3 linked regions of the Styela clava genome follow. The protein of the gene in region 3 purifies or fractionates together with the protein of the main gene of each other region. This does not show direct contact. Links are inferred from orthologs where the notes say so. Each region holds a gene or a part of one and is shown on either strand. Other genes may lie near its edges.

Region 1 (10,788 bases), on a different chromosome or scaffold from region 3:
GGCGACAGCAAGTTTATAACATACAAAGTGGTCAACAATTTAGCGCATAAAACTATTATTGACTAGAAAAGAGCGTTTTTGACTATACAGATAGACTATGTTAAATCCAAATTCTGGTTCTGGCCTGCTTCAATTCAAGTAGCTCAAATCCGAATAAATTGTGCACTTACTGCATGAAATGATTATCAGTTCTTTTTTGCTCATACATAATTAACAATATTTTTCTCAGATTTCCTTTGAATAAGGCACTTTGCGAGAAGTGGGTAACTGCTTTGCGGAGGGCGAATTGGATTCCAACTAGTTCTTCACGTTTGTGCTCTGACCATTTTAAAGAGAGCGATATTAAGAGAACCGGGCAACGCACAAGAATTAAGGACAATGCTGTTCCGACCCGATTCAAAGCATTTCCAAAATATTTAAGAAAGGTATGCATAAGATAAACAACAAATTGAATCCTCAATAACTTTAAATGTTGTACCCAAAGCGACAAAAAATCCTGTCACATATTTTAATGGGTGTTTTTTTCATATATCGGGCAATTAAGATCACTATAGCATGCAGATACCTAGTATTTTAGCTTATGGTAATAGACTTGATCTGTTATGTATTTTAATTTTTAGTTTATCGGAATAACTATATAAAATCATCTGTTTATGTGATGTGTGAGATTTTTTTTTACAACAAATGCCTTCTAAATTTTTTAAAATTCTCGTTTTTTGCCACATGCTTCGGTTCAACGCATCTAAAGTGGGACATGCTCATGATCATCAAAATTTCTTGCAGGTCAACGAACAGCGAAAGTCATCGACAAAAAGAAAATTTCATTCATGTGTAAGGCAGAAGTGGTCAGTGCAGGAGAAATTTAACAATGTGCTCCATGACCACTCATATTCACAGGTCATTGCTTCACCTACAAAGTTAAAAAAATTAAATCTCAGCTTACAACATTTAAAAGCAGTAAGAAAACGTCTCCGGCTTTGCCAAAAAAAAACATATCGATTGCAAAAACATGTAAAATCTCTTGAAACGGTGCTAAAGTCCCTGAGAAAGAAAAACTTGGTGAGTGCTTCATGTGAAGAAAGTCTACAGCGATCTATACCTTCATCAATCTTCAATAGAATTTTAATGAATTTACAAACTGGAAAAGGCGTCAAATATCCCAAGGAGCTAAAAACTTTTGCTATGACTTTACAGTTCTATTCAAATAAAGCGTATCAATATGTGCGGAAAGTCTTAAATCTGGCTTTACCACATCCAAGCGTAATAAGAAAATGGTACCAGAAACTTCCAGCTGAGCCTGGTTTCACAAAAATTGCATTTGATGCGATCCGGCTGAAGGTGAGTGCTGCATCGCACCCATTGATTTGTGCTATGATGATTGATGAAATGGAAACATGTTGCTTGGGATGGAGAAAGGTCCCATTGATTTGTGCTATGATGATTGATGAAATGGAAACATGTTGCTTGGGATGGAGAAAGGTATCGAGGCTTTGTTGACCTGGGAAATGCTGAAAATCAGGATGATTCTGCCCCACTTGCCAAGGAAGCTCTTGTTTTGATGGCTGTTTGTGTGAATGGGTCCTGGAAAGTACCTTTGGAATATTTTCTCATTAATGGATTGACCGGAGAAGAAAGAGCAAACATCATACAGATTGGGATTCAAAGATTGAGTGAAACTGGAGCCAAGGTGGTATCCTTAACTTGTGACGGGCCATCTTGTCATTTTTCAATGCTCTCTCAGTTAGGAGTTGTTGCCTCGCATGTAAGCATGCAATCATATTTTTACTCATCCTTCGTGCCCATCTGAGCGGATTTATGTTTTCATGGACGTTTGTCACATGCTTAAATTAGTCCGAAACACCCTTGCACCATGCAAGTTGATATTGCTGCTCAAACCCTGAGCAGCAGTGTTGCAGATGCGATCGAATACTCTGATACGGTGCTGAAATTCAAGCAGTTTAGTGGAAGCAACTGTAAAATTTATCAGAATTTTTGACCAGCTTTTTGATGTGCTAAATTCCAGAAATCCCTTCGCTAAACGATTTAAGGAGCCACTAAGACCTTCAAATAAGCATATTTGGTAACCATTCATGAATCAAGCATGTGCATACATTGCACAGTTGAAGGATTCTTCAGGAAGACCAATCTTGATGTCAAGAAGAAAAACTGGCTTTATTGGCTTTTTGTTATCTGTATCCAGTGCAAAAGGCGTGTTCAATGACTTGGTCACTTCAAAATATTTAAAATATCTTTTAATGTACAAATTTAGTCCGGATCATTTGGAACTCTTTTTCTGTGCTGTAAGAGGTGCTGGGGGATTCAATAATAATCCAACTGTGCAACAATTTACTTCTGCCTATAAACGACTGCTTATGAGAAGTGGGGTAAAAGGCACAGGAGGGAACTGTGAGCCCCAGGATGCAACAAGCATTTTGAATGTTTTGGACAGCTTCAGTCTGACTAATCATAATATGAGTTTAAGCTCAGTATATTTTATGAAGAAATATGACCTTGAACCACGGACTCCACTAACTTCTGACCATGACTATGCTGACATACCTAACACAATCAGGTTGTCAGAATACAAGCTTCAAATAATCAAATATATTGCAGGATTTGTTGCAAAGAGGCTGCGAGATACCATGTTTTGCATAAAATGCAAGGAGGCTCTCGTATCATCTACTGATCATACTTCAAGTTTAATATATTTTAAAAACCGTGGAGGATTAACAGTTCCGTCAGCAAGTGTTATAAAAGTTTGTAGAGAAACTGAAAAATGTTTTCAAAGAATATTAGCTACCTCTGGAGGTAGACTGCCCTAATCCCCTGGGCTCATCAATGCTATCGTTATTGCAGTGCAAGATGGTTTAATCGATAAGCCTATTTTTCCCGACCTTGTAAACCACTGGCGCGATACAGGGTTTGGTGATTGCCATATTAGTTTGATGGGGAAGGCCATTATTAAAGCATATTGTGGCATAAGGGCCAAACATATGGCACGAGAGTTTAATGACCAAGCTTCTGCAGTTAATGTAAGAAAAAAATTGTCAAAGTTAATTATATTTCAGCACCAGTGAGGAAAATTTTTCGTCATTTTCTCAACAGGTCATGCATTGGCAATGAATAATTTTAAAATAAAGTTATTAAACAAGGTCAATCATTGTCTATTTGTATCACATTTTTCATCCTGGCATGGCCAAAATTACGTAATGTGGGTGATAATTTGGAACGGAAACCTAAAATAAATTTTAAGTTTAAAATTTGTTTTAAGAAGTATTTCCAGTCTTTTCTGAACAAGTACTGATTCATACCTTTTATCTCGTACGTTTTCATTTGTGCGATATAAAATGAAACGCTTTTTTTGCCACTACTGTTTTCAATTTTGTCCTATTTGTGTCATTACTATTGTTTCACGATTATTAGTTACAATAAATTAACATGCTTTATTATAGGTATAATGTAAAATGTGAACCGCCAACCTTATTCATGTGGGGGAGATGTTTACTTAGTGTGTGTTATTATTTGTTTGGTTTGTTGGCTAATGACTGGATGTTAAATAAACTTCGCTATCTATCCAAGTTTTCTGATTCTTATTATATTACAGAGGTGTGGCCAAAACTGAATAGGCTATACAGAATACCGTATTTGCTCGTTTAATAGCCCGGGCGCTTATTTTTTTAAACAAACTCACTAACCGGGCCCTTATTCAAACCGGCGCTTATTCAAGCAGGGGCGCTTGTTATTTTTAAAGTAAAATTATACACAAAAATTACGGTACCGGTATCTTTGAAGACAAATATTTGACGACATTAATCCTTTTTCCATGTCAAACGCAAATTATTCACGTCTTAAGAGTAATTCCCTCATATTACGCTTCTTATTTCCTATTGCTCTTTACCACTGAAAAATCAGCTTTCACACCGGGCGGGTATTCAAGCACCGGCCCGTATTTATTTTTATGTCCTGTTCACACGGGCGGCTATTCAAACGGGCGCTTAATCAAGACCGGGCGGTTAAACGAGCATATACGGTATGTTATGAAGTTTTTTTGAACTTTGGAAATCGAATATATTCTAAATTGGAAACAACTTCATTTGGAAAATTACAATAATCAATGTCTTAGCTCCGATAACATTTTAATTAGCAAAAAATGGTATTAAGGCGCACAAAATATGAAGCCGGGCTAGGTAAACTATGGCCAAATACAAGAAAATGGGTTGGCGATTCCGGTAAGCCACTCGGAGCAATGTAGCCTACTGTGTGATTGGTTAGGCAATATTATTCATCCACGATTAATGCAAAATGAAAAATTAGCACGGTATGGCGAGCTTGGATGTATTAGCGTTTCATACATAATAAGAAACGAATCAAGCGAATATACAAAAAAAATCGACGCAAATAATTGGTATCTGTCAAATCCCATATGAAATACATTACGCGCTACGCAAAATTTGGAAGTCTAACGTCAAAACGAGAGAGGCTTCAAATGGTCCCGCGAAAACGAGAGAGAAGCACACTCTATATTTATATATCTCTGTGGCAATAATGAGGACATTTTAAATTATTTTAGACTCCGAACACTACTATTTTCGAACAGTGACACCTAACGATTTATATTTTCCATTTTCATCCAGCACTGTTAGCACTAAAGAGCTTTTGAATTTTATCCGGCGCAGTCATCGCTGGACTCCAGGACTATCAGCATTCGTCAAGTACGAAGTACCGGTACCGTGCCGGGACCGGCACGGTGAACCTGTAACACGTACCCGAATGTTACCCATACAGTAGTATTGTTTTGTCACAGAGTTTAGACTTTTTCAACTATTATACTTCAGGAGATCATGCCCCTCTGCCTCTGGAATAAATACCGGTACCGAAATATGATATCGGTACCGTGCCAGTACTGGTACCGGTAGTCCAGTACCGTAACTAGGATTGTTTTATGTTTACTCCTTTCTGTTGTCAAAAATAATTTTACCCCTTATTTCTGTATTTACTTGTCATTCTTGTTTTTTTATGTATTTTTATCTGTAAATCTGTGTGAATATTTCAAATGCTGCCTTCAAATTTTGATATTTTCATGTAGCAAGTGCACGGCACACTAGCTACAAATCGGATGACATTGTCCCATTCCAGAGAAACCCATTTTACAGATGATCAGACACCCCTCTATTGGGAGACGTCTGGACATTGTTGTCCCTCAATAACGGTAATAATACAGTATAATGAAGTTGCGCAAAATACTACAAAAAAGCGCAATCTAGTAACGGCATCATTGAATTCCTTGGGAAAAAATAATCCGATTTACTGAAGGAAAATTTTTTTTATTGTATCATTCGAGAGTTTTTAGCAAAAAACGGCAATTTTGGTCATGTTTTGGCCGCGATTAACTTAGATTATTATTTGGACAAGCATGGTGTGGTATGACGCATCTGAAGTGGTCCTATACGCCCCTCGTTTGTGAGACACATAGAGTCCTTGTTTTATAGAGCTAAATGGAGGGAAATTTTTGGAGTTTGCAGTTCTTCAATCACATGCAATTATGCCTCAATGTGTTTGCGGCCTTTGCGTTCGCTATGTACCGGACCGTACTTTGTCATTTTTTCAATTTTTATGCGTGCCTCATTTTCCTATCACATGAAACATCCGACGAGCCTGTCACTGCTGCTCGTCGAGTCTCTTTTGATTATAATTGTTATTATGTGTGTTGTTTTTGGTGAACGAGCATGCGCATTACATGCTATAAACTTTATTCTTGAGTTTTGCTCATTTTTCAGGCATTTCTATAATATGATTTTTTTTTACCCAGTGTTGTGTTTTCAAAATGCCAAAATAAATTGTATTGTAATGCCTGGATTGAATAAGTTCATGGAATTATTGACATAGGTCTGTAGGTACCAGTGCCAGATTTTTGATTTTACTATAAAATCAAGCGAAATTTTTTTGACACCATGTATAATTCTTGGGTCTAGTATAGTTTAGTACCACAAGTACTTTCATTGGGCGTAGCATAACGAATTTTGCATATTTATTCCTAACCACCACCTGACTATGCCATTCAAAAATTACGTCACTACGACGTCACCCTAACGTCATAGGGCTTGCCAAATTATAATTACGATAGCCCGAAATGGCATCTGCGCTTCCGATAACGAACTCGCTAAAGCCGGCGATCTCTCTCCCTATCGTGATCGTTGTGACAAGAAAACGAGAGAAATAGCTTGCTCGTTTTCAGGTGATCGTCTGCGCGATTTGAACGACCATCCGCATACTTTGGTGGGTCTTATTACGTCACTGTGACGTTGAGATGACAGAATTTTTCGGTGACGTAGTCAGGTAAGGGTTAGGATTGACATATGCAAAAATTGTTGAGCCAGGCTAACTAGAAGTGCATGTTGTACTAAACTATACCAGACCCTAATTCTTTTTTTTCTTTGCTAACAATGATTTTTTATAAGTTCGCTTCAAAGTCTCGATTTTATAAAAAAAAATGCTATTATGTAGCAAACTAGCCATGTTGATTCATCTGGTAACACACACACTTGACCTATGTCATAAATTTGACATATTTAATCCGGATATAAGGTTTTGCAGAATATTATACATTGCCTCTAAATTGACATGATGTAATTTATCATGCTTTCGCATTTTTCTCCTTATTTCTGTAACTAATATGCTGAATTTCTTTTTTTAAATTATCTATCATCTTCAATATAAAGCAATTCTATAAAATTCAATAAAAATTAACTAGTTGAACAAATTTTGCAAGAGTTCGCTGCCTCAAAGTTTACTTTATACCAAAAAAAAATGGGTAAAACATTATCACGCCAAATGCGCTGTACTGGGATTCAATTTTGATACCAAATCATTCACTAGGATTAGAATCTTCATATATTATTCTGAATTCTGACCATAAGTTTATAGATTTTTACTACAGTGTTTTCCCGAGAATAAGACTGGTTTTTTTTTAAATTTTTTTCCGAAAAATAACACTAGGGCTTATTTTTGGGGGATGTCTTATATTTTCATTCATCAGAAACAAAATTACAAAGTAGAGAATTGCCAGATTTTCAAATATATACAAAATATGAAAACCAATATCTATTTCCTAATAAATAACACGTTTTTATTCAAAATGTGAGTAGGTAGGTCAGATCTGATTATAGAGATCCACTTTATATATTATTATTCTACTAATTTGAATATCTTTTTATTTAACAATGCAGATTGACTATTAATAAATATGTCTAGTGTGTTTGTGCCTCAACATGTTCGTGGAAGCAAAGGTCCTGTTACACAAGAAACTATACAAAAACTTCTGGATGAAAATAGTCATTTAATTCAATGCATTGTTGATAATCAAAACAGCGGGAATAGACGAGAATGTGCACAGTATCAGCAAATTCTACATCGCAATCTAGTATGGTTGGCTACTGTCGCTGACTCTAATCAAAGCAATGCTCAAAACTTGCTAAATCAAACTTCACCCAAACAGGGTATCGGTGGAATGCCAATGCCACAATCGACCAAACTTATGAAATCTGAGGCATCAAGTTTACTATCTTCTAGTGTGCCAGCACCCGAGACTTCAGCAATAGTAACCCTGCCGAATCAAACTGTCCCAAAAGCAGCAACACCCAAACTGACTGCTGCTAATCCTTCTACGGTATCGCCAGCATATGCTTCACCTCACAGATCGTCACCACAAACGAAGACTCCATACAGCCAGCCACAGCAAGGTACTTTTCCAGCGCAATATCGCAGATCACCAAACTCTGCTGGAAGCAGAACTCCTATGAGAAGTCCAAGTGACCCAAGTCAGCCTCACACACCCGTCCCACCAGCCCAGCGACAATCACCACTAGCTACGACTTCGATGCCCCCTCAGTATCCACCACAACAACAGCCAATGCAGAGTAATATGCCAGTGCCGAACCAGGCCACAACTTCTTTTTCACACCCACCTCCTGCATCTTATCCACAGTCCCAGGCTTCATACAATCAGCAGCAGCTTGCACCTGCGTCGTACCCTCAGCCTCCACCAGCTTCATCTTACTCCCAGCAACAACAAATTCACTATCAGCAGCCTCCTCCCCCCTCATCATACAGTCAAGCACAAGTCTATCCACAGCAGCCACAAGCAGGTCCTTATAATCATCAGCCGTCAGGATATGGCCCACCACCCTCTAGTGGCTACCCGCCAAATCAGAGTGCACCTCACCCAGGGCAGTCATCTGCAAACTATCCGCAACAAGGACCCCAACCCCACCAATATCCAACTTCTACACACCAAGGAATGATGCAGCAACAAGGCCAGCCCCTTCCTTATTATGGGAGACCTGGCCCACCACAGAGCTCAGCTGGCTACCCAGGATACCCTGTGCCACCAGCCGGGCAACAAATGCCTCCACCTAGTCAGCAGTACACACAACAACAACCCCGTCAGCAGTCTCCAAACTACTCTGCTCAGTATGCAACGCCACCATCTCAGCAAAGTCCCCATTATAGTCAGCAGCCTACTGCCCCATCACAGGCACCGCAGCAGCAAATGCCTTATCAGTAATCACAACCTGATTGCCATGTTGTTTATGAGATTATACAGTTGTTTTTGTCGTAAATGAAGTATCACATGCTGCCGTAATAACTTGATCATTATATTTTTACATATCATTCGAAATAAAAAATCCGGAACGATTTACTGATTATATTGATGAGTTTTTTTTACACACAAGTTGCTTGTGAAAGGGCTTGATATTTCGTTGTGCTTCCATACTGTACATTTTGTATTTCAAATATTGTTCCATTACCAAGCGAATCATGATTTGAAAGGGCAATTACAACAATTTGCTTCGGAATATCATGAAATTCAAATAGTTCTGTATATTAAATGAATGTTATCATAACAATAATATTAGAACTGTTTTTGCTTGCAATAATCTACGTTCTTTTCTTGAATTCTGTGAATTCATCTGTTTTTTAAATTGGACTGTTTTAGATATCGGTGTTTGTCTTTCATAACGTCACGGACTCACTGCCCTAATTTAAGAAAACTTGAAAACGCTATTTATTTTTAAAGTAATCAAGTCATGGAAATATTATATAGGGTGTCCAAAAAGTTTCGCCCGATTTTAAAGTCTTTATAATCAAAAGTTTTTTTTTTATTTTAAAAAAAATTTATAGTAAACCTGTTTCTAATTGGATGTTATAGATATTGAATGTTGTAGTCCCCATTTATCATACAACAAAATTTATTCAAATTTGCAATTGGTAATGCTATGAAACGGGCGGAACTTTTTGGACACCCTGTATAGACATACCGTACTTCTTGATTATAACAGATATCAGTTTGGATGCCTTGAGCCTTTGCATTTATACTTTTGTTGCAATTTCGTTTTGTATGTGAATAGTTTTTTTTTTCTTTATAAACTTATTGCTATAGCTCAACCAACAAATGAACTTCATTAAATTTCATGCGAATCAATATGATGCTTCCAATGAGTGAAACGATTTTAGAAAATTTTAAGGCGCTCCCATAGTATGTGAACCAAGACGCAGACACCAGAACATGGTATGTGTACCAGGTTGGGGTTAGGCCATAATTTTATTTCAATTTTCCTTATTTTAGTTCGATTACGAGTTTGGGGACTACTAGCCAAGTGACTCGCATAGTATTTGTATCTAAAATCATGACCTAATTCTAACCTGGTCCACATACTACGTTCTGATGTCCACCATCTTGGTTCACATACTCGGAAGTACCAATTTTGAGTTAAAATAAAAATGTCATCAAATCGAGGGCTTCAACCAAAAAGCGCGAAACTTGCCAAAACTGTCTTAAATGAGAAAAATAAACTCCTGAAACTTTTTTTAAATACTTTGGCGAATATTATTTTTCAAATTAAAGTTTTTCAAAATTTCCTGTCACTCAAGCTTGAGCGACTGGAGTTATATTTTTCTTTGATGGTTAGTGAATATAATTCAAAATCACAACCAAAATTAAAATAATTATTCTTGGGTAAACTTTCGCATCAAATGTTATCTTAATGGGTTCAGTTTATATTTAGTTTTGAAATATTCTAGATTGAAATGAGATGGCCTGTTATTACATTAATAACTTTGGATAGATACACCTCATTGTAGGTGGAAATTTGGGTGAACCTTTATACTCAAATATTTCGAATTTTGGAGTGACTTTTCGTAACCATGTCCATTAGAGAAGGATGAAAACCACCCGATTTATTCTGTAGTAAACCAGAACCTTATCTCAATATGATATTGAAATAAAAATCGACCTGTCATCGGTTGAGAAGTTCTTTAGCTCAAACTCTCTTCTGATCAGAAAATGTGTTATTAGCGTAAATTTGTAGTTTGTCATTTTGTACCGTAGTTCACTGCACTGCCATTTTTTAAATTTAAATAAACATAATTTTGAAAATAAGCATTTCATTAACCTATGTGATAACTGGTAAGAGTAGGCATCTCACTCACTTTATATGGCCAGTGACTTTTGTCATGAATGGGACACGTCACTCGATATGATGTAGGTCAATGTTTTCCAATCGCTCTTGGCGTAATCCTTTATATACTCAAAAACTCATTCTTCCTCACTAAGCATAAAAACTCTGTTATTCAATTTTTGAATAGATGATAGGCGCCACTTGCACTGACTTTTGTACAGCTTGAATTATTTAGTATAAATATTATTACGATACAAAAATAACTTTGTGATAAAGCAAAATTAAAATGTTTCCATTTTCCGCTGTAGCTCTTAGCTTATGCGGTATAACC
Region 2 (9,956 bases), about 4.5 Mb from region 3:
CCCCCCAAAAAAAACCAAAACCTATAAATTTCTTAATTACTTCTAAGAAACGAGTGAATTTATCTAACACTTGATCTTATGCTTGTGTATGATTGTACCCACAAGTTTCAGTACTCGAGGACATTTTTCGGTTTAGATATGACTTTAAATAGCTTTTCAATACTGAAACATGGTTTTAAATATTACAGAATATTTGGAAAAATATTTCTTTTTTCAGATATGGAAAAGCTTCATATTGCATGGAAGAAGTCATATTGTCGCAACCTCTCAATCATCTATATCACCAAAGATACGCAGAGGTAGTTTATATTTGTTTAGTCATAAGTCGGATTAGACCAGGGATGGGTAACTTATGGCCAGTAGGCTGCCACATGCAGCCTCTCAAAGCATTCTGTGCGGCCCCTTGCTTTTGGAGAAAATTGTAAAATATCTTAAAACTTCGTACAAAATTTAGATTTATTCCTAAACTTTATTTAAAATATCTAAACTAAACTATGAATTGTTAAAACTTTATTACTGTTTTTTTTTTTCATCTCTGGCACACAATGGCACTATCATGGTGATCCTTTTTACCAAAGATTTTATGAATGCATTCCTTTAAAAAAATATTTTTTTGCCTCTGTATCACACCGTAGCTTATCGTGTTTTTCTCCTATATTGTATGTCATGAGGTGAGATTGCCCATGTATCACTTTAATGTCTCACTTATGAACCTCATTACTTATCGATCTTAAGATCGGTATTTGTCTGTTTGTTTATTTGTTTGTCTGTTAGATACACGCGATATCTCACGAAAGCGAGGTTGAATCTGCTCCAACTTTTGCATGTGCATTCATCATAGTTCGGAACAGGAGCCTATTGATTTTCGATGAATTATGTCGTATATTTAGCGAGTTATTGATTAATTAGTGAGGGGACACACGGTGTCACTATAGAGTAAGAGCGCTGTTTTGGGGATCCCCTAACCTCCGATCGATAAGTCTTCGGTCTCCGACCGATATTCTCGTTTGAAGTGTTGGCAACTTTTCTGGATTTCTGTCCTGTTTGTATGTCTAAAAGTGTAAGTTTAAAATAAATGATCCCATCTATCACATTAACTACAAACTCAATGACACACAAAACAAAAATAGCATGGTAGTAGTTCAAACAATACACACTTAATCTTACCCATGTCTGTCAATCCATAAACAACAAACTTGGGATATGTTTCACAATCAGGGAACGATGGAACACAGTGGAGTGAATATTACCAATCAAGAAAATAAAAGTCTCGTACAGTAGGTTGGAATCATTAATAGTGGACCATTGCGGAGATATGGAGAGTAGTTCCAGTTATTGACAAAATAAAAATAAAGTTTGAATCGGTTGTAATTTTTCACCTAAATATCAGGGAATAACCATGCTGTATTATTTTCAGATCAAATACACACAGGGTGGAATGGAGAATGTATCATTAGCAAGAGATTACTTTGCAGAAGCAGTTTATTTAAGTCGTAATTCAAATATGAGGGCATTGTATGGATTATTGCTGGTGAGTTGGTCTTACTTTGATGTTTTATCACCTTTTTACTCGTTCAAAAATGTTGACAAATTTTATTAAAAATTGGGTATTTTACAAATTATGATTTTGATTTGAATAATAAAATCTTATTATTTAGATCTGAAAAAGCGAGGTATTAAATACTTAGGAGCGGCTTTTTAGATCTTTCTCGGTTGAATTTTTTAGGTTCTACTCTGCATTTATTGTTTGATTCAAATTTTCTTTTTAGGCGTGCAACCAATTATCATCCAGTAAAGCGACAGATAAGGAGAAGAAAAATAATAGCAAATATGCAAGTTGGGCAGCAAAGATGATTCAACTTCAGCATAAAGTATTTATTCTTCATAAGTTAAAGTATTGACAATGCAGGCTATGCTGCCAACCATGCTACTGTACCATTCTAGATGATATTTAATAAACTGGGAAAATCATTTCCGAATGGCTTCTAGATGTAAAAATATCATGAGGGCGATCATAACAAATTGGTATGTGATGTGAGAGATGCGCCGTCTCCGTGGTTGCCCCCCAAGTTAAGAGGGTTGGGGGGGTCAAAACTAGGAAGGGGATAGGATTTTCACATTCTTCCCGGGGGAGAGGAAAGGCAATAACAAGTCCTAATCACATGGTGTGCCAGGGGGCTCTTGACCGGTCACCATTGCATTGTATTTCTAATCCTTGGTACGATGGTAATTGCGAGTGTTTGTACACAAGCAGACTATATTTTTTACTAATTATTAACAGAATCATGGCAGTGAAGAACTTGGTGCAACCCGCAGTAAAGAAGACTTTCCAGAATTAACGACTGGTGGAGTTACAGACTTAATGAAGGAAATGCATTTGAATTCAACATGAGAAAAAGTATTCAATTATCTCATCACTGTTTGTGTTTTCCGTCCACCAAAAGAGACTAAAGGATTGTGAACAGAACAGTGGTCTTATTGTTGAAATTTTATTTATTACAAGGTTCCATTCTTTGACCTGGTATTCCAAACAGGACAAAAATCTAACCAACTCCACATTTAAAAAAATTCTGGCACATACAGAAATTTTCAGAAAATCAGTGCTGTCATTTTTGTTTTATTACCAGTTTGATGTGATGACTGCTTCTCCTGTATAAAGACATCTTTAACAATATTAAGAAAATTAAACGAATGATGTAGTTGAATAGTCAATCTTGAATGGTGCTTCATGAAATTGAGTTCTAATAATTGTTTCAGAGGAGTAGTCAGCAAACCTTTTGCACTGTTGGGCCAAATTTGCACATTCACGGCAGCAAGTGGGCAATATCAATTTCCGCCCATAAACAATCACCACTTGAAACCTTAAATTGTGACACACCCGCAACTATTATTTATGTGCTAATTGCTAGCAAATACACGACTTACAACTGGCATGTGCTTTCGCTACTTACCGGTACTACATACAAGCACCGTACAACAGAATGAACAGGTATACCACATCTTTGAGCTGGTTTTTTTTATGAATTAAGTTGGGCCCTTCGAAGGCTATGAAAATTTGTTCAGGTACCAGTTTGCCCCCAAACTTCACTCCCACTTTTCTTTTTCAATTGCAAGTAATGATACAGAATCGGATTTAAGAATAAGTAAAGAGATGAAGAAAGTATTAACACAACAATTTGACATACTCTTATGTGTTTGAGAACCAAGCACTGAATGTACTACTGCCTTATTAAAGGCAATTCGCTGTGTTCATTTCGATATGTCTTGATTGTCATAGGTTAGAACAAATGCTATTTTTCTGATTCTGTGGTTTTAAATGATCTCCTTCAAATCGAGGAAGAATGCAAATTTGTGATGTGTATTAAATTATTTGCGAACTTTATTTATGTTGTAATTAATATTGCACCTCTGAAAAAGGTAATAAAGATCACTGATTCAAAGTTTGTTTGTATTGGAAGGGGTGTCCTGGTAAATGCCAGCCATGCGATTTTCAAACTGTTTGGTAGGGCAGGGCCCCAATGAAATATTCTTCCTGAAGCTTGAGACACTGTACACATAACATTATAGACTCAGATTTGAATGCAAATTCCCAGAAACCCTGGCCTAGAATGTACTCGAATCCTGTTTCGAAACCACTGTTATATAGCAGATTTCATGAGCGAACAGGACTTGAATTTAACTTCCTTACACCAGAGCAGCTCCAACCTGTAACTGCTATTGAAACAACATATACAAATTGTTAAAATCTCAATATGCTTAATAATATTGCACCAATGAAGAAATCAGAAAAATAAATAAAAACACTGCAACAATCAATCACTGAAATCGTCATTTGAAGATAAACTTTGACTCTCGTTATCAGAATCTTCATCAGTTGGAGCTTGTCCACCATCAGGTACAGGGGCATCAGGCGTACTGAAATTAACACAAAGTACTGTTATTGCAAACATAGGTATCAATTTCATGCTCATTAACATGGTTAAAATATTCATCTGAAACCTATCAAATTGCTGACCTTTTTACAAACCAGACTGGTATATATTTAGAATAGCCATGGGAGAGAAAAGCTGTAGAGACAACCCTTTCATATGCACACTACATCCTCGCATCCGATTACCAGTCCATGTCAGCTATAGCATTAGTTGGTGGTTTTTTTGTTTGAAATTTGAAAAAAACATCACCAGATCCAACTTACTCGAGCATATCTGGATCCAAACCTTCAGCCCTCATTTTATTTGCAACTGCCATCTTCGGTACACCTACCATCACCATCTTGAGGTATTTGGCATATCTAGAAGTAAAAAATTGTTAAGACCAAATATACCAGAAGAAGCGATGAGTAAAGACAAATTTTTTAGAAAAATAACAGATAAACTAGGAAAATTTTTTTAGAACAGTACCTGGCATCATTCTTAACTAATACAACATTAGGATCAGGGGCAGGTGGTTCATTATCTTCAGCAGGGGGAGGGGCCTCAACCCCATTAGGGGTAGGGGTACTGACAGGCTCTGTTGAGGCAGGTTGAGTAGGTGACGGTTCCTCTTTCTTGACATCATCAAGGCCAGGAATGGATGAAAGCTAAAAATACAATTGAAATTAAGTTTTGGGCCATCACATCAAACTAAGCCAATATGCATTTTGTAAATCAATAGACAGAACGTATTCAATCAGTCCTATAATTTTTTTTTAATTTTCTCCATCTCAAAAAGAGAAGAAATAGTTTTATTTGAAGTCACATTCAGTTTACCATAGTTTGCTATTATAAAATAATGATCGATCCAATTTTGTTTTCGTCATCGATATAATATTAATGAATATATATATATGAGTGATATTGTCACAATTGTGTATAACATTTGGTGATTTGGTGAAAACTTTCAACTATCAAGCATATACCGATATAAACAACAGCTATTGTGTAGTCTGATTGTTGAATGAAAATATTTCTCATTTGTTGGAAAAAATAAAGTAAAGTCACCTTAGCTTCTAATATATTCAGAGCTATTTCCATTCTTTGCATCTCTAACGATTGTAATGCCAACTTTTCCTCTGCCATGTTTGAGAATTTATTGAGAAAATTTGCAGTGTGTGTGATAAAGTGGTTCATAAATGTCACAGAACGCCGTTGATTAAGCGGCGCCATCTTGAAATAAAAAATACGCAGGTAAATTATCATTTTATGGAAGAATATTTAATGGTCTAGTTTACAGTAGCGGTACCAGTAGAAAAAAAATTATCAAATATTACGTACTTTTGTAAGATCCACAGTTGGTCCCAAAGCGGGAAGATTAACGTCATCCATTATTTTGAACTGAACTATTTACTGTCCATATATTTTGATAATCGCATATATTAATCTTATTCCGTTTTTTATTTAGCTGTATTTTATTTTAGTAAAAACAACAACATTTCTTCAAATTACAATGTCCGCTGCCTAATCCCTCTCTATAACAGCGAGCCCAGGATACGATACGGTGAATGACTTTTATAAGAACAAACCAAAAATCAGCAGACGATCGACAGTTGAGAAAAAAGGCAGCAAGGTGCCTTATAAAAATTAAATAAGCGACGTCGCATTAGGATAAACAAAGGTATAAATGGATAACTTTGGAGGTGCGCGCATGTGGACCTGCCAATGGGCCAAACACACCAAAAAACTATTGAAAATTTACCCCAAGCTTCATATTTTTAGCCTGAATCGATGTGGTAGATTTGTCACGTGATCAGCCGCCATTACAACGTTCTTTGCCCAGCGGTCGTTCTATCCGTTGAGCGCAGTCAGCGACGAGGTGACGCATAGACAAAGAAATAGCACACGGCTTATGCGGGACCTTCCTCATGCGTATGTAATGTGGGAGTCGAGCGTTTGGGTTCCAAATCGGCCGTTACTGCATGATTTGTCGAGTATCGAGAGTTGATTAGGCCAAGTCGCGAAAACAAAACGGCGCGCTTCAGATATTTTTGCCTTCCCTTGGCCTAAAAACAAAATGGAGGCCGTTTTACATTTTAGCCACATTATTACCTCACCAAAGACGTCGATTTTTCGATTTTGTGACGTTGGTAAAACTTGGATTTTAAATCTTTTCTGGCCGAACTTAATTTCGCTTCACTTGTGTCAGTTTTGGAAAAAAGAGCGGAAAATAGTTATCAGTTTACAGGTTTTGGTGTTAGAGCGTCGATGGCAATTACTGAGTTAGGAAAGCCGGCAAATCGTTGTTGGGCAGTATAAGTGCGTTTATGGAATGTTTCTGCCCTGATTTTCGTAGTATTCCCGAGAATAGGAGAGACAAATATATATGATATTAATTTATCTAATCCAGCCATACCAAATTCATCAGAACGTCACATCGCCTGATTCAGTAGATATTACCTAAGCGTTTGAATTCACTGCCAGCCAGCTGCCTTGTACACCCGATCGCGGGTATCGCCCGTGGAAAGACGTATCACTTATTTAGATTTCCCGCTTTATATTACGCGACTTGTGCGAGAATACCGGCAAAGGAGAGTTGATAGACTGATTGGCAGCCCGTTTTGCAAACGCTTCAAGGAGTACAGGCAAATATATCTGACGTGCAAAGGTAACTCATGCTATGTGTTGCTACAGCTATATATTGATATTATCCAATGTTCCAAGCAATAATTTTTCAATATGGAAAGTAGGAGAGATTCACACAACTCATCTGAGCAAGGACAAAAGGAAGCTTTTTTAAATGAGCTTAGTCAATTTCTTTCGGACAAAGGGTAAGCTAAAGCCATAATACAATTCAGTTAACTTCTTGTACTACTTAGGGCATACACAAGCATAAATCATAACACACTGATTTTTCATCTAAACAATTTTAAGTCAAGTCTTTATTGCATCATATGTATTAAAATTTGAAATCCAAATTTAAAAATTTATTTGATGTTAAATCTTTCACGTTTTGATTTTAGAATTAGTACAGTAGTAGATTGTTTTATTTGTTGAAGTGATTTTTTCTAAACCTTTATGTTATTAATATTTCAGGAGATATGTTTGTCGAACTCCAAATCTTGCTGGCCGAACGATAGATCTTCACGATTTATACAACAAAATTACTCAAGCTGGCGGATATCAGAAGGTCTGTTGTTGATATTTATGTTGATGCATTTTCTCTTGTTTCTTTCTCACTGTTTTGTATTAGTGAACCTCACTGTTTCTTCATTTTATTTCAGTATTTGTACAATCAGACAATTTATGTAATTTCACTCTTGGTGAAGCATGTATGTGTTTATACCCTTTTTATTTTTACTTATGGCTTTTACAACTTATGGCCATGGCTTGACTTCCATGATTTATATTTTGTCAAGCGACTAAAATTTTTTGATATGTACAGTAATATATATGTTGGTATTGTATCTATGTTTGCAAATTCCAAATAATTTCATTATTTATATGCTGTTTGATTCGGTTTAAATTAATATAGGTAAAATATTACCACACATATTATGATATTAAACTAAAATCCTCAAACTTATTTCAAGATGGTTTTAATTTCAATGTTTTCCAGATTTTCACATATGGAAATTTATCGTGGATATAATTTTTTGTGAATTATTCTTGTTGTAACTAAAGGCCATTATCTTGATAATAGCTGTATGCTTGCTTTGGTTATTTTTTTGCCCGATTTTTGCAGTCTTAGCTTAGTGACAAAAACAAATATATCTGCGTAAGGTAATAAACCACAACAATTCACCTGTATGCATAATTTCATTTCAACATGCTTACAAACAGTAACAACTTTTTTTCTGAGAGTGTTTAAGTGACATGCAATTTCATAGTTTTTCAGTCTCCAGATTTCATTATAATTTTATTTACATAGATACTATGCACAAATAGTATACAGGCTTTTCTCTGAATATATGCTGCAACTTGACTAGTTGTTGGAAATTGTTCTCTATACTGCACGCCAAGTAGCACTGGCTACTGCTACTAACTAACATCATCGAGTGGGGGCTAATTGTGTTTTATGTGTAAATGTAATCTAACCAATGGATCAATTCATTTTAGGTGACTGATAGAGGGTTTTGGGAAGATTTTTTGGAATACTATGGGTTTCCTGGAATATCAGCGACTCTTGCCTTTGGATTGCAGAAGATTTATCAATTGTAAGTCTTTAAGCCTGCCTTGCCTGCTGGCCAAAGCCATAATATTTTGAGATATTATTAAATGTATTTTGAGGTTTTGGGTTTAATAGAGAAGTAGACGAAACTAATATATATTTTAATCAAACTCAATTTAATAGAAAAATATTCGAAACGAAAGTAGCAGGTACATGCTAGAATCCTTATTTACACCAATCATTTTCATTGTTTTGATGAACCCATGTTAAGTCAGTGATACATGTTCACTTCAAAATGAAGTCAGTTTGAAAGCTTTGAGATGCAGTTTGCTAATGATACCATTGGAATACTCTCTTCTTATTCGTAATGTATAGCAGCTGTGTGTTGTGATTTTGAAAATGTAGGGTTGCATTTATAAAATTATTTGCTTTTCTATGTTAATTAAAGCTTTCCACAGTTTGAATTGTTGTTTAGAAAAAGACAGGATTGCCAATTTTTTGTCAGTGTATAATATGTCAAATTATCAAGTAACCCATTTGTCAATAATAGGAGCTAACAGTCCATAGGTTTTGTGGAATTTGAAACAAGACTTTATAAAACTAATATGAAAATACTGTAGTATTTTGTTAGGAGTCTCTTGTAGAAGGTATTTGATTTGTTAAGATTCTGTCTGGCGCAAGTAGAATTACTGTGGAAAGACTTCTAATTGTCTTATTTTACACAGGTTTTTAGCCTTGTCTCATTTTTCATATTAACGTATACCTTCAACGTTTTACTTTTACTCATTCGTAGATATTTAGAAGATTATGAACGGGTTCATTTCTTTGGTGACGATGAGCCACAACCTTACTCTCGACTTTACGACGGAAAATTGAGAAGATTCAGATATCCAATATCTGGTTAGTTTTTTTTAATATTTTGATAAATTTATCGAAAAGTGTTTTATCTGTAGGTGAATTTTTTCGTATATATTTCGACGAGAATTCTCATTTCAATGAAAAGTTTGTTATTAGAATTTTTGTGAATTCTTTGCAACTATGGACTTCAACTTTTATGATTGAGTTTACCTTGGCATGAGAAGGTACTAAATATAATTTATAGTAACTAACCATCCACTCTGCCCTCCATACCTTTGAGCTCATGGTAAATGTATAATTTAAATATGCTGTAGCAATAATAAAGATGACTATTCTATCTGATTCGAGAGACTATTCTATCTGGCTGCACATCAACACAAATGTATTTCTGTAACTTTCGTTCCTGCAAGATTGTTGAATCACAGAGAACTATTGTAATAATAACCAAGAAAACTTATTCGATATAAAACATTTTTGATCTAATATTTATTAATTCAAGCAAAAATAATGTGGTTGTTCTGTATGTGAGATTCATGTGGCACATAATACCAGTATATAAATTTCAGAGATAACTAACTTGTTATTGCCATTTGCCAATGACGTTGTATATGTTAATGCTGGAACATTTTATCCAAAAATGCCATCTGTTGAGCAAAGCATATGATACCCACGAGACAATTGAAATTTTTTGTAACCTGACGAATAGCAGGAAATTATGAAAAACATGTACATTTTCCACAGTGTTATGTCTCTTACATTATATTTTGCAAATGTCTACATTAGTGAACCATAATTTAATTTATTATTAATATGCTATAATGAATACAAGAGCATTTAGCTAAATTTGAAATCAAGAAAGTGCTTTGGGCAAATGAAGGGTAGTTCAATAGTAATCCTTATACTTTTCAAAAGTATAATAATATGATTTTTATTCTTCAATGAGGCAGTGATGAGCAATAAGAATTAAACGGACAGTATATTTGAGCATTATTAGCTTATATGCAGTTTCAATGTGT
Region 3 (10,893 bases):
ATACCGGTGTGCAAACAAATATGTGAATATAACCGAAAAACAGAAATCAAGTCAGCATAACAAGATTTTTTCATATTTACTATCAAAAATATTTTACATAACAATCATCTCAACATGCCGTCAAGTTACATTGTGATGAAACAGAAACACGGCCTCACTAACTCCATCCATTGGAAGCAAAGAGATCATTCAAACTTACCCTTTTCATTTCCTTGCCAAATTCTTTAGCTTGATCAATCCACTTTCTCTTCTTTATGATGTGTGATTCTTCAAGATGAACAAGTTCAGTCTCAAGTTTTTTCTACAAAAATGAGAAAGTTCCGATAAAAAATATCCCCCAAAAACCGCAAAAACAAAATGTCAAATTAAACAGGACACATAAAAAACAGGGATGGCAAAAACTCCAAAAATTAAGAATGTAGAACATTGAATATGATTAATTAATTCAGATTAGATTCGTATATTCGATTCACATCTGTGGTAGAAAAATACAATTTTTATTGTCCTACAAAAATATAAATAAATCTGATTACAGGAATATAGGCAGGCAAATCATAGGCTTAATGATTATTTTTCTTTTTTTAATGTTTGCTGTAACATGATCAGATCCTTATCTATTTGAGCTATTATGATTTTTCATCAGTGTACCACAAAGGCAAGGGTCGACAATATTCTGAATAAAATATTCCAAGAATGTTCAAGAGTTTTGCTGCACACTAACACAGAAGTATTCTGTATCGTTTCAACCGTTATATAGTTCAAGGGTTATAGTTAAATAATCATTATTAAAATATAAATATTGAACTTGATAATGCAGAATATTTATCCCATCATTGTGTCAATGTTTAATATAGTTGGGACGAACATTGTTTCATTAATTTTCTATTTTCACAGCATCAATCTGAAATGCTGAAAACGACAAACTTTTCCAAATTATCCCCAAAACCAAGAATTTCCTATACCGATATAACCAATTTCTAATGGATTCGAAATCTTTAAACCACACTTTTTTTATATGACTATTATTTCACGCCTTTATTACTAATCAACATACTTGATGTAGCTCTAATGATTGCACTTGATTTTTCAAAACATTTAGTCTTTGTGATGTCACCACAACGCAAGTACTAGGTACATGTACTGCTTCACCCAATATATCGTTGACTAATCGATGGTTACGTTGGAATCTAGCAGCTGCAACATGCTTCACAGAGTAGCACATATCTGAATCCTCTGCAATGAAAAGTAGTATTTGCTAGGTTACTAATGGGTGGATAGCTCTTGTTAATAAGGAAAAAAACAGCGCTGCGCTTAGGAGGTTCTGGGGACATTGGGGACAGTTATAGATCTTATGACACACGCTGTTTGTTTGCACAAACTAGCTAATAGGATGTTGGTATGAGCTTTGTAATGCAAAGGAATTGTAATTACTCGTACATTAAATTAAAAACTCGTTACGCATTCAAAATTGGCACTTCTCCGCAAGCGGCACAATTTTTCCTTGTGGGCCGCATATGATCTATGGGCCACAGGTTGCACACTCTTAGCGTACACCAAAACTTTGATCTAAATTTAATTTTCCATAGAGTTTATCGCTGACTTAGTTTGAATTTTTTTCCCCAATCAAACCATAATTCCATAAATAAACCTTCATCACTGATCCAAGTAATTGTATTTGACATAAAAATAATTCTTACTTACCAACAGTTTCATCAATAGGTTCAATGCTCATATAAGCATCGTCTTTGTCTGCTAATCCTTCAGTAGCAGCCATGATTGCTTCAGCTGAAAATTTGAAAAATCAGACAAATATTAAATTTTTGAGAGGTGATGTGCATAAGATTTGTATTTATATAGAGAAGAGAAAGGCGGTGCATAAGATTTGTATTTATATAGAGAAGAGAAAGGCGATATGACACTGACAACTTAATCAAACGGTGAAAAATGACCTATCGTCGGGAAATCAGTCTATGTTGGGTAGGGTAATAGGGTGATTATGGCACCAGATTTGGCTCTTAATGCTCCATCCAGACATGAGTGATATTTAATAACAGCAATTGCGGTTATTGAAACTATGAAAAATGGAAAACGGGCCATGTTTTATATCTCATAGGACTTATATAGTTGGTCTGAACTAAAGTAGCATATCTAGTTACGACATTATAATAATTGAATGAAATACTTCACACAAACCTCTAGATTTAGCTTGTAGATATGTTTGATATTCTGGTGATAATTGATATGCCTTCAACAGTTCAACATGTTCCACCTGTAATTGAAACATTTATTTAAAATGCATTATAGTTAGGTGGTATGGCTCATCGTGCTAAGCGTTAGGAATACGCTCGCCACCGCACCTCTGATTACTCTGCGTGGATTCGCAGGTTCGAATCCCATGCGGTGATGGCTATGTGCGAGAGGATTGCTGGACTCCTCACCGCCGTAGGGTGGTTCACGTAACCGCATCAAGTCCATTCTTCTGAAAATAAATAAATAACTGATCCCATGACTAGTGAGGGAGGAATAAAAAGTTCCAAAATAGGCAAAGGGAGGAATTTAAAGGAAAAAGGTTGGGAACTATTGAATTCTGAATACCATGAAACTGCATTTGAGCTACCAAAAACTTCAGAGGTCAAAGGTTAGAGCTCAGAGTAAAAAAAATAAAGCGACAAAGTCCCTGTGGTTTCGAATCAGCTTTCTGGCCTTGCATTTCCAGTTTATATAAAGAACCAACTTTTGCAATTTCATATTCATCCATATATTGTTGTCGCTCAGTTGCTGGTAATTCTCTCCACATTTGTCCAATTATTTTTCCAACCTCCCACAATTTTAAATCTTGATTTTTATTCTGATTTGCTCTCACATCATCCCACACCTGAATTGTAAAAATGAGAAGTAAAATAGATTGAAATTCAATGTTAGTGTTCATATAAATAAAAATGAAATTTCTGTATGCTTTAAGAGTTATATGGAGCTTTGTCCCCAATGATTTGAGAGTTCACTCAAGAACTAAATGAGTAATAATCTACTACCTTTCTGCTATATCTCATGTAAGGCATCAACGGCTTTTCAGGTGCTTTTGGTGGCTTCGGCAATGCACGCTAACAATAAAAAAATTAACACAATTAATATAAATTTTGATACGAAGACCGATATAATAGTATTTCTCAAAACCATAAAAATGGATAAAACTTCCAATGAGTCACAAAAATATTACTGTAAAATTAAGATTACTACAATACCTACGAAGCAATTTAAAATACACTAAATAAGTGTAAGTCCAGTTTTTTTGTAGTAAAACGATAGGTGTTCAACATATCACAGTAAACAACATACCCCAACAGATCCATGTCTCTTTCCCCCAGTTTGTGACAGATTTCCAATCAATAGTCTAGTATTAGCAGGATGGCTGTAGTAGTTTTGAAAATATTGATTCGAACCAGCAGTCTGAAAAGTACACAAATATTGTTATAAAATATAAATCTACTTAACAGATACATTTTATACTCAGTTGAAAATGCGGTAGGCTTTGATTGCAACGAAATGGTGTCTTTCATACTTGAAAACAAAATATATTGCCAATATCCAAAACTATATTTCAAGCATTGTATGAAATTTTCTGATTTATCCGTAGGAGTGAAGCAAGTAAATAAGACAGCTTCATTATATGGCAATTCACTATAATTTTTCGACCTGTTATGCATTTAATTGGATGACGGAGAAAATTAAGTACTTTAGCAACTCTATTATACATGCCTATTCTCAAACATGATTTCAACCTATGAACCACCACAGGGAAATCAATAATCATGTAGCAACTGACATGTACCACTTTTCTTGCACTCTGTACAATGCACTAATCACAGAACGCTCATGGTACATAGTTTGGGAGGAAAGCAGGGAAAACAAGTACTGTGGTATAACCCTATCTTATTTGTCCTATGTGAAATGGTAATCAATCATATACGGTAGTAACCAGGGATCTATTAAAAACTGCATGCTAAGAGCAACTTGTTTCTTACACAAACGGTCAAGCAGTAGACAAGGGTTGACACTGATCAACACAACAAAAAGTAATGTTAAAAAAATAAGAAAACAACAATACTATGCTTACAGCTGCTGCAATGTTAGGTAAGATGTGACTTTGTGCTGATGGCATTCCTATATTTTCACTTGAAGCAGCAGTAGTGATTCTTGTGCTTCTTCCTGCAAATAGATAATATAGTTGAGGTTCAAAGCTGTACAAGACAAAAATCATCAACCAATACATATCGTGGTAGATCAGCCAACTCTCAATCAGGTGACACACCATGGAAATCAGTCTGAATCTATTTCAAATCTTCTTATTAGAGTAGAATAATTTTTGAAATAAATAACATTATCTTAATCTAACATATATGTAACATTTTTTTTTCATTTCATATATTTACAATTGCATATAAGGCTTTCAAAACATGATCACCATGTTTAACTTACTTGACATTGTAAATGGTTGAGAGATGACACAATTCAATTAAATATTACCTATTATCAGATAGCAGAAAAATTTATCTACAAAAATAAAATGTGCATATGAAAGTTTATATTACTAAGAATACCCACAACGTAGATATATTAGAAATCTATCATGAAAGAAGTATTCTGTTTACCAATAATTATGGATAAACATACCAATGCCAACTACCAATAGTCAGAATTCAAAATTCAAAAACTGCTATTATTTCGGATTATTGAACACCAAAATTTACATATCTATTTACATATACCAGAAGTATAGATGGCATGACATATATTGTTGATGTTTTGGAATTCGGGGTGTCCGTAGTATCAATTTCAAAGATAGGATAAAACCAACTGGATTACAGACAAAAACTTATGTGCCCATGGAAATACAAAATATCAAAATATAAGCAGCTTTTCAATCAAAATAAATACAACATTGAGAAAAAAAGCATTATTCTGAATGTTGACAAGTATGAAGAAAACAAGCAAAACACTTTGCGAATTTTCAGCCATGTCACGTTATTGAATATAAAAGTCAAATTCATTTATTAACCTATTTCAGAAATCAAGGTTTCCTTATGTTTCCAAAAAGTATTAGTTAATGTGAAAATGTCAATTCAAAAATATATAAAATTTTAAATCTCAAATACTTTTCCCCATGTAGCTCACAAATTGTGCAATGCAAGAAAGCAGAATTTAGTGTTTCATAATAAAGCATAAACTCGAGCCGAAATGCTTTGATAATACAAAAATTGGATTTAAAAATCAACTGAAAACAATGATGTTTATCACAGCAATTCGTTAGAATACAAGAAAAGACCTCCTTCATTAAATTTTATTACATCAACAATACATTGTACACAATTGTCATAAATTTATACCCTTGGTGAATAGACATAAATTAGAGAGAACTTCATACAAATATTTACACTTGATAGGAACGTGAACATTTTTAATAGAATAGTATTTGTTTTGACTAATGACAAGATTCATAATTTCAGGATTTTATATTAATTGCATCATTCTGAACTCATTCTAAAACAAAATGGACTTCTGATTATCTTTTTGCCATGATATGCCTCTGTAAAATTTATACAATAATATTTCAATTTACAACTCTTTTGAATGGTCTAGCACCCGGAGTTCGCACTCTTGCGATTGGTTTCTGAGATTCTTTAGCAGAATTAGTCCGACTTCTAGGATTTGTATTTCCGATTCTTTTACCACTAGGTGGATGTGGAGATATTTTTCTTATAGGACTTTTAATACTTGGTAAATCTGCACGAGTAATTCGAGTATCTTTCTCCAACTGACGAATTTCTTGCTCAGAAAAACCAACATTTTTATCTGGAATTGGGCTTTCTGGTATAGAAGTAAAATAATCAAAATCATCTTTAAGTTTCACTTCTCCGTTACCTATAGCAGTCGAAAATTTATGCAGCGATTCGGTTATTTCTGTGGTAAGTTTATCATAAAAAGCCGGTTTATTATGAGTGTCTTCATCAATATTTTTAGGTTTTTCATTTTGAGATTCCTCCTCATCGTCACTCAATTCTTCTTCGTCGTCACTCTCATCTTCATCCGAGCTGATGGAGCAATCAACCGATTTTTCATTGAGAAATTTTAAATTTGGCAGTTTGTCACAGATGCTTCCAACATGATGAGATGCTTCTATACATCTATTTCCAGTCAAATTTAATATTATCAAACTATTTGGCAATTGTTCAGTAACTAAATTTTCGATACAATTATCGCTTAAATCAAGAAATCCCAAATTTGCCAAGTCTTTTACTCCTTTCACTTCATTGATCCGATTCTCAGCCAGAGTTAAAAATCGCAAATTAATTAAAATGGAAAAGTTAACCATTTCCTGTATGTGATTACATTGTAAATAAAGATTGGTAATGCAAGGCAGAAAGTCCAGCAAAGGAACAGAAGTCAATCTTTCTCTATCTAATCTAACATGAGTAAGATCAGACAGCTTTTCAACTAATGCATCGACATCAGTGTCGTTTTCTATTTTCAGAGTTTTCAAATTTCTTCGCACTACCAGGCCAACAATATCCAACGTATGATTTGACATTGTAGATTTTGATGTTCAATTATCATCCATTATAATGTCAAAGATATAAATCCTGTTCACAAAACATTTCAATCTTGAAAAATCTCATCTTCGTCAAATGTGTAGTATTTTAACTGAATCATTCTATTTTGTAATCTTAAACAATAGACACAAAAAATTAGACAACATAGCGCAAAATATACTGGTATATCATATCTGGTTCAATATTTTGATAGCTTTTGTTTGATCAAAAGTTTGGATTTATATTTCCAAAATACATTAAATCCCATTTATATGATACTAGAAACAACATTCGAATATGCTATTAAGTATACCGGTACATATGGCATATTTGTCTATAAGAGAAACAAGACAAAAATGAGCCTAACTTACGAGGATAAATTTCACACTTGATACAACTAAAATCAAACAAAACTTGGTCATACATTGAAAAGAATTGTAATACCAAAAATTGGAGGAACATTTTTGAAAAGGTTTGTTGTTCGTTTTAAATCCTTTTAATTACAATATAATCTTAATATAACAATATGAAATTCCTCAGTTCAGCATTAATAAGTTGGACCAGAGTTATACAAATATTTTCAGTCAACAAAAAAAATATATTTCAAGAGATTAGGCTAGCTTGATGGTGTCAAAAGTGAGCTAATTGTGTTTTCAACTTCTTTAGACGATTGGTTTGCCAGCGATGCACTATATTCCACTCCAAATGGATGACGAGCATAGACTTTCGGTTCTATGTTGCTACATTCTCGGATAAGGATTGGGAAACCAGGATTTTCTTTCTTGATTGCGACATATCTATTCTCTACAAAATCTCGAACTCCTTGACTGGATGATGACTTCTGACATAAATGTATTCGAAGTTCACGAATGTGCTTTGACAAATTAACAAGTTGCTTTGCCGCCATCTTTTATTCTTCTTTGGATCCCCTTGAACCTGCTCGTATATATTACTGTATTAGTATTGCAGAAGCAATAATAAAAAATAAATATAAAAAAATGACAGTTTTTTATATGATATTTCCACACTATTCACACCGAACAAGGCCCTGCATAAGCAGCTATTGCAGTATTGATAGGTCTGTAGGTGGGAAGCTGCTATTTTCAGAAAACAAAACGAACTAGCCTCTTAGCTAGTCTATGTATGAGTAGGACTCTGCCGTGAACCACGCTATGGCATTGAGGAGCCCCGCAATCTCCTTGCACATAATAAAATGAATTTACGGCTGCAGGGTGCTTTATCAAAAAACATTCGTCTGTCTGTCTGGAGTTGTGCACTCGCGCATCTTTACTCGCGCAGCGTTACTGGACTGGCGTTACCCAAAGTGACTATAACTAACTATTTATAGTCACTTTGGCGTTACCGTGCCGGTAGTGCTCTGACTCAAATCAAACTCCAAATAAATACTATATAATATATCTGAATAAATATATAAATCTGACAAAAATATCTGAATATTCGAGAAAACATTTTGCGATACAGCTTTGTCTGAAAGAAAATATGCGAACGCTTTGCGCAAACTGATTCATGTGTGAATGCAGTTTCTCGAGAACAGCATTTGCGAGAACAAATTTTCGCGTAAACGTATTTTTCAAAAATGTAATTTTGTGACAAAATATTGAAATCTCGGACAACCTACTTTTCCGAGACTGTAAATTTATGCAAACGAATTTTGCAGAATTGCAGTTCCGACATCGTGACACTGGACAGAAGTTTGTTCTCGCAAAGCTAGGTTCTCCACATCCTTTTTTTCGTGCATCATACAGTGAAAGAAGATCTCTGAATAAACTAGAAAAATAACCGAAAATAGAGATGAATTAACGATATATAGTATGATCAAAATTTATCTAATAATTATCTTGCCTGCAGCAAACATCAATAACAAAACCAAGAAGCGTGTTGCAAATGTCGTGTTCAGAAATTTTACTTGAAACAAAATGCGATCAGAATTATTACATTCCAACTCTCTATATTCAATACGCCAGCTCATTAAATACCGTAGGAGATGAGATTTTAAAAAATTGGTAATTATAGATATTAAGAGAAAACGACACCTCTCCTGTTTCTACTAAAGTAGGATAGGACCTATCTCATTTGACTCTGAAATTTAATTTGAAAAAGTGGTGCGGGTGCGTGAGCATGACCATGTGCTTTAGCGGGAAGGTTTTGCCGATAAGAAATGATAAATGTTCGATATTCATTATGGAATTTATTATGTCTTATCTGTATGTAATGATTTATATTATTATAAATAAAATTACATTTATTATAAAAAAATGGTATTGCAGCGTTACGGTACGGTATTGGTTATCTCCAAACAGTTAGGTACGGTACAGGTAGCATGTGTCGGCTGTCGCATTGTATTTCTGTACCGGTATTTTGGATATAAGATGCGATAGGTTAGGTACAACAGTACAATGCAAGGGTATATGACATTTGAGTTGTGTTATAGAAAAAATCACGGTATCTTACTAGCATATTCATATATTTGAATATCATGATAATGGTACGGTACATTTTATAGTTTCAGCAGTTTTGTTCTGTATTTTCAAAGCATCCATTGGGTTTCACAATGCGATATAAACAGTAAGTCAGTAACACAGTAATAGCGTTTTATATTCACCCATTGTTTACACTGTTATGACATTGAATTTGTGAAAATTCATTCAAAATAAATTTTTGAATTAAAAAACAATTGGAATATTTTTATGATCATATATATTTATATAGCTTCAATACTTAAAATATATCGAAAATATAAAAAGTGAAACATTGCATACAGATATATGTTGTAGGTCGGGGGTCGGCAACCTTTTGTCGCTCGCGGGCCAAAATTAAAGGTTGCAAGTCATTGGTGGGCCGCACATATTTTTAGAAAGTTAATATCCGAACGGATAGCCGATTAATCACATTTTTCACACAGATCAAGAGTTAAAGTTTGAGCAGCGCACAAAGACTGATCATTTGAATATTTTCTGCGCCAATGAACCATTCGCACTCAGCATCAACTTTACTGCGTTTTGTTGCCATTTGTCTGATTATAATTAAATTGTAGGCTCATCAAACGAGTAATCGTGAATTATATATTTGTTAGGATATAATATAATTTAGTCTCAAAATAAATTATGTTAGGTAAAGAATATAATCGTCAAAACAGCTGTTTTGTTACTATAAATATAATTTAGTGAAGCGTCGCGGGCCGGATTATATTGCCTCGCGGGCCGTAGGTTGCCGACCCCTGTTGTAGGCTATCTCATTCAATTCATTGATAGTAATGCTATGGCCATTTACTTTTTTCATATGTATTCAGTACTTCGGTCCTCGAGTGTAATGATTGAGAGAAATATTGTTTCTGTGGAAAAATAGGTTGGCATCATGTTATTAGTTATAATAAAACCCAACGAAAACATTTAAAACCTCAATAACTACTCGATCTTCGTTTAATAAGCTATAAATTAATCCACTGGTTTCCGTGTAGTTCACAAGTCAGGTACCGGTACTTGAATGTGAATCATGGGAAAATCTTTTACTACTGGAAAGTACATTAACCATCATACTGCCATAAGATGTGGCAAGGTTCAGTAACATGATTGCATGCTCATAAACTCTTTCACTCAGAAATAAGCTGAGTGATAACAATTGTCAGTTTGTGTTGTTGCTAGTAGTGGGATTCAGCCGGTTTGCACCTGTTCTATAGAACCGTCTCACAGAATTTTATGAGTTCAGCGAACCGGTTAGCATTACTGAAAAAAAACATGACTTTTTGTAACAGAACCGGCTGATAATATGACATTTGTGTGATGGAACCGGCTGACAAAAAATTTGAATTCCACTACTGGTTGTTGCCTAATCTTGAATCTAGGTATTAATCTAATTTTGTGGATTTTTTAATTAATGCATTGCTATTGCTAATTAATTCGACTTTCATCTTGACACCTGGCAGCATGATCACCACCAATCACAGAATCAACTGATCAATTTTTCAGTGAACAATTGAATAAATACCGAAAATTCCCGATTGTCTGCTTGTGTCTATAATACTTTTTAATTCTGTCTCTATAAAAACAGTTTATAGTAAATTGATAGATGAATTTTCATAAGGACTGCCACCATGAACAGTTTCTTCAAATTAGGGAGAAGGCTAACTAACTGTTCTCGTGAAATTAGTGTATTTTCAACCTCACAACCAAATGGAACAAATCATGCTTGGCATAAAGCCGTCTCAGAAGCTGAGAAAATTGTTGGATTTCCGACGTCTTTTCTAAGTTTAAGAGCTTTATTGAGTGACGAGTTTGGTGGACTTGCA

Evidence for each region.
Region 1: the proteins of SWI/SNF-related matrix-associated actin-dependent regulator of chromatin subfamily E member 1-like (region 3) and uncharacterized protein LOC120342568 purify together in Homo sapiens (affinity purification with mass spectrometry; 4 studies listed by BioGRID and IntAct, counting the BioPlex papers as one, with this or other methods). This does not show direct contact. The link is inferred for Styela clava from reciprocal best matches to the Homo sapiens genes SMARCE1 and SS18.
Region 2: the proteins of SWI/SNF-related matrix-associated actin-dependent regulator of chromatin subfamily E member 1-like (region 3) and uncharacterized protein LOC120331925 purify together in Homo sapiens (affinity purification with mass spectrometry; 7 studies listed by BioGRID and IntAct, counting the BioPlex papers as one, with this or other methods). This does not show direct contact. The link is inferred for Styela clava from reciprocal best matches to the Homo sapiens genes SMARCE1 and ARID2.

The regions. Positions count from the first base shown.
Region 1 is NC_135252.1:18,834,628-18,845,415, forward strand, and holds uncharacterized protein LOC120342568, read left to right. Parts: upstream 1-6,427; 5' UTR 6,428-7,243; coding exon 7,244-8,563; 3' UTR 8,564-10,438; downstream 10,439-10,788. UniProt on the Homo sapiens protein: Appears to function synergistically with RBM14 as a transcriptional coactivator. Isoform 1 and isoform 2 function in nuclear receptor coactivation. Isoform 1 and isoform 2 function in general transcriptional coactivation.
Region 2 is NC_135255.1:16,056,821-16,066,776, forward strand, and holds the start of uncharacterized protein LOC120331925, read left to right. Parts: upstream 1-5,632; 5' UTR 5,633-6,650; coding exon 6,651-6,742; intron 6,743-7,007; coding exon 7,008-7,101; intron 7,102-8,030; coding exon 8,031-8,128; intron 8,129-8,875; coding exon 8,876-8,982; intron 8,983-9,956. Other genes in the region: ER membrane protein complex subunit 2-like, read left to right, coding at 218-299, 1,418-1,531, 1,770-1,871, 2,282-2,392; WASH complex subunit 3-like, read right to left, coding at 3,813-3,915, 4,196-4,291, 4,401-4,579, 4,980-5,144, 5,253-5,303. UniProt on the Homo sapiens protein: Involved in transcriptional activation and repression of select genes by chromatin remodeling (alteration of DNA-nucleosome topology). Required for the stability of the SWI/SNF chromatin remodeling complex SWI/SNF-B (PBAF).
Region 3 is NC_135255.1:11,565,478-11,576,370, forward strand, and holds the start of SWI/SNF-related matrix-associated actin-dependent regulator of chromatin subfamily E member 1-like, read right to left. Parts: upstream 4,558-10,893; 5' UTR 4,484-4,557; coding exon 4,477-4,483; intron 4,207-4,476; coding exon 4,115-4,206; intron 3,448-4,114; coding exon 3,337-3,447; intron 3,102-3,336; coding exon 3,033-3,101; intron 2,876-3,032; coding exon 2,735-2,875; intron 2,270-2,734; coding exon 2,194-2,269; intron 1,786-2,193; coding exon 1,702-1,785; intron 1,234-1,701; coding exon 1,055-1,233; intron 302-1,054; coding exon 200-301; intron 1-199. Other genes in the region: leucine-rich repeat-containing protein 46-like, read right to left, coding at 5,609-6,586; all trans-polyprenyl-diphosphate synthase PDSS2-like, read left to right, coding at 10,699-10,893. UniProt on the Homo sapiens protein: Involved in transcriptional activation and repression of select genes by chromatin remodeling (alteration of DNA-nucleosome topology).